2 linked regions of the Drosophila melanogaster genome follow. The protein of the gene in region 2 purifies or fractionates together with the protein of the main gene of each other region. This does not show direct contact. Each region holds a gene or a part of one and is shown on either strand. Other genes may lie near its edges.

Region 1 (5,415 bases), on a different chromosome or scaffold from region 2:
CGAAAAAGGAATCGCACAGGTCCTGGCCAATCGAACCGATTATGATTTTGGTAAGGAAATCGTACTTTTAAATGGACTTAGTTAAATCATTACTTTTATAGGAACTGTACACGGTGACGACTACTTTTTGATATTCGAAAATTTCGTACGAGATGTGGAAATGCGTCCGGATGAGCAGATAATTTCGAGAAATTTTATCAATATGCTGGCAGATTTTGCTTCGAGTGATAATGGCTCTCTAAAATATGGTGAATGCGATTTCAAAGATAATGTAGGTAGTGAGAAATTCCAATTATTAGCTATTTATATTGATGGCTGCCAGAATAGGCAGCATGTGGAATTTCCGTAAGTTACATGAATAAAATCAAAAATTTTTCGTTCTGTGTAATTTTTAATTATTTAATTATTCTCAACTGGCTTTAAATATCATTTGTACAAAACGTGTTTGTCGCTTTATATTTTGGTTTTTGTTGTTTCTTTATAAAGAATAATAAACGTTTGTTTACCCGCAGTTTGATTAGTACTTTGTGGAGTTCCAGATCATGAGTATATTCAAACGGCTGTTGTGCCTGACTTTGCTGTGGATAGCAGCTTTAGAATCTGAAGCTGATCCCTTGATTGTTGAGATAACAAATGGAAAAATCCGTGGCAAAGATAATGGGTTGTACTACAGCTACGAATCGATTCCCAATGCCGAGCATCCAACTGGTGCCCTCCGTTTTGAAGCACCTCAGCCGTATAGTCATCATTGGACTGATGTTTTCAATGCCACGCAGTCTCCAGTTGAGTGCATGCAGTGGAATCAGTTTATAAACGAAAACAATAAGCTGATGGGTGATGAGGATTGCTTAACGGTAAGCATCTATAAGCCAAAGAAACCCAATCGGAGCAGCTTTCCTGTCGTAGTACTCCTGCATGGAGGTGCTTTCATGTTCGGTAGTGGATCCATATATGGACACGACTCCATTATGCGTGAGGGAACTTTGCTTGTGGTAAAAATAAGTTTTGGTCTTGGACCATTGGGTTTTGCAAGTACCGGCGATAGACACTTGCCGGGAAACTATGGTCTAAAGGATCAACGTCTGGCCCTACAATGGATCAAGAAGAACATTGCTCACTTTGGTGGAATGCCAGATAATATTGTGCTCATTGGTCACTCTGCAGGCGGTGCTTCGGCTCATTTGCAGCTGTTGCACGAGGATTTCAAACATTTGGCCAAAGGAGCGATTTCGGTGAGCGGCAATGCATTGGATCCTTGGGTCATACAGCAGGGTGGACGACGACGTGCATTTGAACTGGGTCGTATTGTCGGTTGTGGACACACAAATGTCTCCGCAGAACTCAAGGACTGCTTGAAGTCTAAGCCGGCTAGCGATATAGTCTCTGCTGTCCGAAGCTTCCTTGTGTTTTCCTATGTACCCTTCAGTGCTTTTGGACCTGTTGTGGAGCCGTCAGATGCACCAGACGCCTTTCTAACCGAGGACCCAAGAGCAGTGATTAAGAGCGGGAAGTTTGCCCAAGTCCCTTGGGCTGTGACGTACACCACTGAGGACGGGGGATACAACGCTGCTCAGCTGTTGGAAAGAAACAAATTAACTGGCGAGAGTTGGATTGACCTACTCAATGATCGATGGTTTGATTGGGCACCATACTTGCTCTTCTATCGGGACGCCAAGAAAACCATCAAAGATATGGATGATCTTTCATTTGATCTCAGGCAGCAGTATCTAGCAGATCGGCGATTCAGTGTGGAAAGTTATTGGAACGTGCAGCGAATGTTTACTGATGTTCTTTTCAAGAATAGCGTGCCAAGTGCAATAGATCTTCACCGAAAGTATGGCAAAAGTCCGGTTTATTCTTTTGTCTACGATAATCCTACCGATTCCGGAGTGGGTCAATTGCTTTCCAATCGAACAGATGTACATTTTGGTGGGTACATACTTGCGTTTCAAATACTTAAAGCTCTAGCTTTCTTATTATTAAAGGTACTGTCCACGGAGATGACTTTTTCTTGATTTTCAATACAGCTGCATACCGTACCGGCATTCGTCCGGATGAAGAAGTTATTTCAAAAAAGTTTATAGGTATGCTGGAGGATTTCGCACTCAACGATAAGGGAACATTAACATTTGGAGAATGTAATTTCCAAAATAATGTGAACAGCAAGGAATATCAAGTGCTGCGTATTTCACGAAACGCTTGTAAAAACGAGGAATATGCTCGGTTTCCCTAAGGAATAAATGCATTTAAAAAATGTAAACAGTATAATAATGTAATTAAAGAACAAATTTATTACACCTTTATGCCGCCTCAACTGTCAGAGGTTTTTCAATAAGTTCGTCTTCTTCTTCTGGGTCGTTTTCCTCGCCCTCCACATTCCCATACATCTCAATCTTGCTGTCGAGGAAGCGAAAATCCTTGAGGATATGCAACTTGTTGCTGAAACCAGCAATGGAAATGAATTTAATGGGCGATGTTTGCCAAACAGCAGAGTAGCAGGCAGTGTGCTCCACGGGAATATTGGCTTGCAGTACTCCATTTAGAGTGTAGGATTGCACATGATTGTGCTCTCCACCGATTAAGACACAATCGTCCACAAAGTCACATAGATGCACGCGTCCGGGGAAGCTAAAGACACATGTGCTTTCCATGGAACGCAGGTGGAAAATTGAAGCTTTGGGTCCACCACCGCAGAGCAGCCAATCCTCGTTGACAGCCACTGCTCCTATCCATTTGCCCCAATCCGGACGTAACAGATTTGGGTTCTTGTAAGGCTCCAGCATTGAAGTGTGCTGCTGCTGCTTGGTGCTCCACACTCGCACAGTGCCATCCTCGGCGCCAGAGAAGATCTGTCCGTTGGCATTGCCCACCACACTGTGCACGTAGTCTGTGTGTCCGCGGTACTCGCGCTGAATTCGTCCGTCCTCCAAACTCACTTGGTAGATCACTCCGTCGCCACAGCCAGCAAACAGGATGCTATTTTCCGAGTCCAGCCACATGGAGTTCACATCCGGCACTTCGACGGCATCCACTTGCATGGGTATCTTTACCTCCCAGGACCGTTTGGTGGCCAGAGATTCCTCCTCCTCGTTCCATTCCAATCCGTAAATAAGACCCACTGCACCAACTATCAAGAAATCGCGATGGAAGGCCAGGTAATTGATGTCCACATCGCTGCCCTGCGGGAAGATCTTCAGTTTGCCAGGTGGCTCCTCGGAACCCTTGTCCAGTTCTTTTATTCTTCAAAATAGAAAAACAATTAGTTGGGAAATTGCGCCAAATTAAGGATTCTCACCTAAGTACGAAAATGTCGCCAAAGAGATTTCCCGCAAATAGGTACTGTTTAGAGCCGGATATAGCCTGTGCTAGGACATTGTTGTAAGCGCGTTTCAGATCCTTTTGTTTCATATTTTTAGCTAATTTAATTAATTTAACCAAATTGTATCGCTTTGTTTACGCCGGCTCTCTAGAGTGACCGTTCCTGAGCAATATACCAAGAACAGTATATTATTTTTGAAAAATATACCTAAAAGTGCGTTAGTATATTACGTAGCATTCACGTTACGTTCAATTACGTTAACCGTTAGCCAACGTAACGTGGATTTTGAATTTACGAAATAACCTGTTTTCAATCATTCGACATTCTTTTGATTTTGAGGAAATACAATTGAAAACCAATTGTAATTGCAATTGCATGAGCAAAATCGTTCGCCGGAGATTGCAATTCGATTTCCTCATAAAAAATTTCATTCTCCATGTGTCTGCCACAAATTATCGTGTGTGTCAGAAGTAAGAGTGCTCTCCGTAAATGTTTATTTACGATTAATCTCATTAATTGTAAACTGGACAGCGGCCTAAAATCGGAATTTCAGCTTTAATCAGACATGAAGTTCGATGGCATTCAGCTAATTAAATATTTTTTTTTGCATTGTCACAGTGAGAGCCGATATTTAAGAAAGTCTGAGACCTTTCAGACAGGTGAAATACTAGTTGAGTTGACTAATCGCCTTAAAATATGGATTTGTAAACCCATCATGACGTTTAATATTTGACTCCATCCATTCAATTCATGACTTAATAAATTGGATTAACGTGAATCATCAGATGATGATGGAAAAGTCTTCAATATGACGTCAATTTTTGGGGAGATCTTTAAAGTTGAAGAGCGTGCTCGTACCCATGTTTGCCTATAAACAAATGCTGATTGCCCACTTATGATTGGAAAACAATAATAGGCAGCTTGAAATTAAATGGCTATCAACATCAGGTTTCCGTTGTTTACCAATCAAACATAACATAATTTACCTGATCTTTTATTTACCTTATAAATTCTACGATGCTATGGCTTCATCAAAAATTCCATGTTGATGATTAAGAAATACAATACAATATTTTCTACATTAAAATTGATCTAGTCGATGTTACACATAAAATGAAGACTATTGAAATTAAATGTTTCCCATTTAATAAAATACTCTTCCCCTATTAAATATTAAGATTAATACAGAAGTCATGTATTAGCCTAATACAAATTCTAATGTGTGTTGTTGATACACATTTTTCAGCCTGTTGTTCTCGGCCGTTCTAATCGTTCTAATTTATATGCAAATACCTATGGCTTATTAATGTCGAGACAGTCGATTTGAAATTAATTATTTTGGCGCCACAGAGCTGTTCGAACTGTCGCAGCATAATTCACATACTTGAACAAAAAAAAAAAAAAAAAAAACATCGAAAATTCCCCAATTCCCATTAAGGCCCAGAACTTTTGTGGAACTTCTCGTTGGGCGTTTGAAATGCGGTTTTCCGGCTTAATCAATGCCTTATCATATCGAGTTTTTATTTTTAAACGACTGTAGCTGCGCTTCATTTGGCATCATATTAATGGCATGCAAATTTAATTTGACAACTTGACGTATCATGCCAATTTGAAACGAGATTCCAAGACGATTTGCTTTTTTTGACGACTTTCTTAGGTTTTTATTGGACCATTTGGATTGGCATTTCGCACGTGTTTTTTTTTTCTGGGAATTCCAATGTGCTCGGAACCGAAAACAGATACATTTTCAAGTCTGGCTTACTGGCGCCAAAAAGTTTCTTTCAATTTGAGTAACGGCTATCGAGCGATCAAGCGATCAAGCGATCAAGCGATCAAACGATCATCTTTCTTTCTTTTTTCACCCCGACTAATGATAAATGCCTTTGATGAATTTTAGCCAAATTTTGTTTGCTACACAACAGCTCATGATGTAGTCATGGGAGTTTGTTTTTGTGTGGCCCAGTATTTGGTTGTATTTTGGGAAATCCCCAAGAGCCATAAATTTCTTCTAAGCGGCTCTTTCTTCTTTCTATCTAGCTTATTTTTGTTTGCCATACCTCGCTTCCCCTTCGCGAATTAAATTAGATCCAACCGGA
Region 2 (5,391 bases):
GTCAACATGGTGAGTATAGCAGAATAATTGTCGGCAGTGGGCGTATAATAAGATTACCCTTCGCTACCAGGACACAACGACTGCAATCCCAGAGGGCACCGCTTTATGCCGCTACTGCGGACGCCACTTCAACACGGATCGTCTGGCGAAGCACGAGGAGGTGTGCCAGCGCATGCTGACCACCAAACGCAAGATATTCGATGCCTCCAAGCAGCGGATCGAGGGCACCGAGGCCGCGGCGTTCAATATGAAGTCGAAGGGCAATCGCAACCGTTCAACTTACAGTAGTGCTGCCCAGCAGAAGGGTCTGACCACTGGAGTGAAGAAGAACAACTGGCGTAAGAAGCACGAGGACTTCATTCAGTCGATTAGAGCGGCCAAGCAGGTGAAGGCGCACTTGGCGCGCGGCGGCAAGTTGAGCGACCTGCCACCACCGCCACCTTCGGAGAATCCAGACTATGTCCAGTGTCCCCACTGTGGTCGCCGATTCAACGAACAGGCTGCGGAGCGTCATATCCCCAAGTGCGTTAACATGGTGCACAACAAGCCCCGTAACGGTCCGCCGGCCAAGAGGCGTTGAGTGGTGATTGGGAATAGATATTCGCCCATTCTTTTACTTGTGATAAAGAAGTTTTATGATTGAAACGAAATTATAATAACTAGGGTGGGATCGGCATGGGGATGATGCTAATCAGAGAGCACCTCATCGTCGTTACCGGAGGCAGAAGGCGGCAGTGGATCCAGATTTTTCGCGCTCAATAATCGCCTTCACCGCTTCGGCGGCCTTATTCATCTCCAATCCCTCTAGCATGTACGCCCAGTTTTCCAGGGTGGCGTCGTCGTCATCGGATATCCAGTTTGTCAGCATCTTAACGCAGGCCACGTTCGCCGTAGGATGCTCCATTTGAAAGAAGAGAAGTTCATCGTTGGTGAAGCCAATCTTCTTTCCCACCTTCATCCATGGCTCGCCTATAAGGGGCGCCACCTCTTCGATATGCTCTTTGGTAACCATAAGGGGTTTCTCGTGCGCCGGTACCTCATCCACCTCTTCCACCACAGGTTCGTTGTCCTCTACTTCAAGATCCTGCTCTGGTTCACCGTCCTGAAGGGCGACCGTAGCATCCTGCTCGCCCTCCGTATGAACGTTGTTGACCGACAGGCCAAAATTGTTCTCAGAAGAGTTGTTCGATAAAAGGGCAGCAGGTTTGGGCTCTTTGTCCCGGATGAGACGTTTGCGCACTTGCTCAAGATAATCGGAGATCTTGCTCGATGGCTGAGAGAGCGACGTAAAGAAGTGCGGTGTTTGGCGGGCAAGCAAGCGCAGAGCTCGCCACTCAAAAGCGGGATCAACCTTTTCGTGCGGCGTTTCTAAATATGTCTCCAGCAGCGGTAGGAAGTTTCGCTGTTCACTTTTGCAGGCCTGCAAGTTATCTGGAGAGTAGTTCCACAAACGTGTTAGGTTGTCACTGGAAGTGAAATATTTTAGAACTGGCTTAGTTTGACTTACGTTCGATACTTACTTTCCCAAATAAAACTTGCCGCTGCGGGAAGCATCGCGCAGTGCATCGCCCAATGGACGGCGCGGTCTTTTATTGGGAGTTGGCTTCGAGTCCTCTTCGCTGAGAGTTGGTTCCTCGGGCTTCTTGAATTCCTTGCAGCCTTCGTTCTTCCAGTTGTTCCACATCTCTTCGCGGGCCAGCATGTGATACACTGTCCGTGAAAACCGCTTACCGTACGGTGGTGTCTCCTCTAGCAACTTATAAACACGCGACTCTGTTTCCTTGATAAAGTCCGCCTGGTCTGCAGTCAAGGTTTGAGTATCACTGAAAGTACAATCATTAAAGTTTGTTCGTTTTCCCTGGACTTTCTTCATATTCGAACCTTTTAAACTTTACACTGACTTGCAGGTACTGAAATAGAATTAGAAACTGCACCAGAACAGCACGTCGAAAATTAGCGTCGGAGAGCTGCAGAGCCAAAAGCTTGGGATTGGTTAGAAACTTGGCGAAGAAGTGATTCGCCTTGATGACGGAAGACACCGCCGTGGTGTCTACTGCCTCCTCGTCCACATCCATTGCTTGGTCAGTACCGCTCGCATTTTCGTTGCTACTTTGGCGCACGTCTTCCAGCTTGAAGCTCGAGAAGGACTGTAGTATGTTGTCAGCGTGCTGGAAGGGGAAAGTAACAATATATGAATATGAACCAACATGGGGCAGGATTATTAATAACCAATATTTATGAGCAAGCTAGCTGGCAAACATCTTTGATCTCTTTCCAAGATATATATATATTCTACAATTGTAATTGTGCCAAGCCACTGCTTACCATCTGGAACATCTTCCACTGCGGCTTATTGTAACACTGGTTGGGATTTCGGAAAAAGTCCTGCAGCGACCAAAACTTGCAGTACAGGTCGTAGTCGATCTTTAGGGGGATGTCCTCAGCGGTATCCTCCAGCTCCTTGTTGTCGCTTTCGTCGTGGTCTTTGCTGTCCAGACCGTACTCCGTAAAGTTGTCCAGGTTGAATTCGGAGACGATGTTGAGGCCAGACCGCTCCGAAAAGGGAAAGAACTTTGAGAGGAAAAGCTGGATGCGGCCACAGAAGACGGTGTTCTGGGTGCGCGAAAGTCGACGCAGCAGGTCGTTGCACATGCGTAGAATGTTGTTCTTGCATGAGGAAAAGAAGATCTCCTCCTTCCACACCTCCACCATATCCTCGACAAACTGAAATATCTTCTGGCACTTGTCCAGAGTGACCACGTCGAAGGTGTCGATCAGCAGAACCACGGGTATGGTGTTGGACACAATCTCGGCCCGCGTGGCTTCCACGGAGAGGCGTACAAGCTCTCCAATGCGACTCACATCTTCGTCCAGCCGCTTCATCAGGAGCACGCGGAACGCGTGGTCCATGGGTAAGCGCTTGTCGTGCTCGGTGTTGGCCGGGAATCTATTGTACTCCTTGACCAACAGCTCCACTTTGCCGTCGGTGATGGCCAATTCAAGGGCTTTCTGAAAATTATTATTTTCTATCAGATCGGAACATTGCCGGTTTCGGGGCCATTCATCAACGTTTTACCTCAAACGCCGACTGTAGCGCAAAGTAGTTGGCCAACTTCTCCGGAGCCGTGTTAGCCACTTCTACGGCGGTGCTCATATTGATTTAAATAATATTTTTGGCGACAACAGATAAAAACAATAAACTAATTTGTTTTTTCAATCAAAACATCACGAGTGCTGCCAACTCGTTTTGGTTAGTATATAATGCGCCGCTATAGTACTTTAAAGACCAAAAAATCGATGACAAATCGATTATAATTTTTTTTAGGCGCCTGTAAGTTAGTTTTTTTAAAAAAGTGTTTTTTTTTTTTTGTTAGCAAAATTTGTCCTTTTGCACCACATAAACCTGTTTTTGAAACACCAATTAGGTAATGAGGGTTTTTAGGTCCTATTCCTTAGAACATAATACTCTGTTTGTAAGCTTTTTTTTTCTTATTGACCCGAAAGACTTTTAAAAAAGCAACTACATAATATTTTTGTTAAATTGGTAACAAATATAATGAAAAAATATATTATTTTATTCTTCACTGCGATAAATAAAAATTGCATTTTAAATGCATTTCTCAAAATCGAATTTTTCTTATTAAACGTCAAAAACCACACATTGAATAAACTTTCATCATACATCAATTTAAAGGCCGAATGGTTTGTAGATAACGATAGCATTGAGCTGGGGCACGCGAACACTCCCGCTATCAGCTATTCCGACAATCACGCATAGATTTCAGATTCCAATTACTTTCCCACTGTGTGCGAGGTCGCACAAGCTTCATAAGTGCGCCAGGCGTATACAATGAGAATCGGGTACGGCTTTATTCCAAATCTTAAGCTCAGGCGAAGTGGCCATGCGCAAGTCGATTATATACATTCTGCTGTGGATTCTGGGGCTAAGCAGATTCTGCAGCAGCTCTGTGCTTAAAGAATTTTTTCCCGACTACAACTACCACAGGCCTTCTTGGTTCCAGTTCTATCCTGACTATTACAACAGAGGTTATTCCCAGCCACAGCCAGAAAGGCCTGCAAAATCGGCGCGGTCATACAAGGACATCTGCAGGTTGGTCAACACCAACGGATTCACAAACCCCGGAGGAGTGCCTAGGTGCCCTTACTAACTTGCTTAACATTTTTATCTACATATACAACACTCATATATTCTAAATAAAAATAAATTGCATTTACCATACTATACTAGGCTGTACCAAAGACACTAGAATAACAAGATGCGTAACGGCCATACATTGGTTTGGCACTATGCAGCCACTTTTTTGGTGACGGCCAAAATTACTCTCTTTCCGCTCACTCCCGCTTAGAGCGTAAGAAATCTAAAAATATAATTTGCTTGCTTGTGTGAGTAAAAACAAGAGACGAGAACGCGTATAAGTGTGCGTGTTGTGCTAGAAGACGATTTTCGGGCCGAAATCAATTCTGATCGAAGAAACGAATTTACATGGTACATATTAGGGTAGTTTTTGCCAATTTCCTAGCAATATGATAAAATAAAAAATTTTTAAAAATTCGCGCCCTGGCTATTATAATTTTAAAGCTTTTTTAAATTTCTTTGTTAAAATCGCCGCTCGAATTAGCTACCGTTTACACATTTGTATTTATGTTTAATTCTAATTTGTCTCTCATCTGACAATTTTTTAAAACCGAAATATTTTTTTTGAAACACTTTTAATGTTAATGTTACATCATATTAAGTCAAATGATTTAATAAATATACTAAATAATTAAATATGCAATTAAATTAAATTGCAAAAGTAATATCAAAGACAATAGAATTATTCTAGTGTCTTTGCTTTGTTCATATCTTGAGGCACGAAGTGCGGACACAAGCACTCAACAATCATTGCCTTATTAATTTTTCACACGCCGCAAGATGAATACTCTAATGACAAATATTCTTATATAAATTCATTTTTGAAATTTATTTTTGTGATAATATGTACATAGATTTGACTATTTCTAATCTATTTTCAAATAATAATAACGTTAAGGCAATGCAAAACAAGAATTTTTCGCATGGTGCCAATTGATAAAAAATAATATAGATTTAAAGCCAAAGAACTTCTAAGGTGAAGGGCATATTTTGTCAAATTTACAATGCATGTGAATACGTGTGCACACATACAGATGTCTGCTATCACTTTGTGCGTTGAAAAGAGCTGTTCGCTGTAGCGCTCTTCGCTCTCTCGCTCTCTAACAAAAATTCGAGAGAGCCTGGAGCCACCTCTAGAGCCACGGCCAAAAAATCGTGTGCCAAAAAATCGTATGGCGTTACGCATCTTGTTATTCTAGGGTCTTTGGCTGTACCACGTTTACAACTTAGGCAAA

Evidence for each region.
Region 1: the proteins of Hpr1 (region 2) and thoc6 purify together in Drosophila melanogaster (affinity purification with mass spectrometry, with the first as the bait; 2 studies listed by BioGRID). This does not show direct contact.

The regions. Positions count from the first base shown.
Region 1 is NT_037436.4:12,190,196-12,195,610, forward strand, and holds thoc6 (thoc6), read right to left. Parts: upstream 3,494-5,415; 5' UTR 3,409-3,493; coding exon 3,296-3,408; intron 3,241-3,295; coding exon 2,301-3,240; 3' UTR 2,299-2,300; exon of another isoform or gene 2,234-2,298; coding exon of another isoform or gene 1,986-2,233; 3' UTR 1,930-1,985; coding exon of another isoform or gene 543-1,929; 3' UTR 501-542; downstream 1-500. Other genes in the region: Est-6 (esterase 6), read left to right, coding at 1-50, 102-349; Est-P (esterase P), read left to right, coding at 543-1,929, 1,986-2,233. UniProt on the Drosophila melanogaster protein: The THO complex is required for cell proliferation and for proper export of heat-shock mRNAs under heat stress.
Region 2 is NT_033777.3:5,818,179-5,823,569, forward strand, and holds Hpr1 (Hpr1), read right to left. Parts: upstream 3,263-5,391; 5' UTR 3,155-3,262; coding exon 3,077-3,154; intron 3,010-3,076; coding exon 2,326-3,009; intron 2,169-2,325; coding exon 1,882-2,168; intron 1,824-1,881; coding exon 1,521-1,823; intron 1,467-1,520; coding exon 713-1,466; 3' UTR 616-712; downstream 1-615. Other genes in the region: CG42675 (uncharacterized protein), read left to right, coding at 1-9, 71-580; CG46303 (uncharacterized protein), read left to right, coding at 3,903-4,169.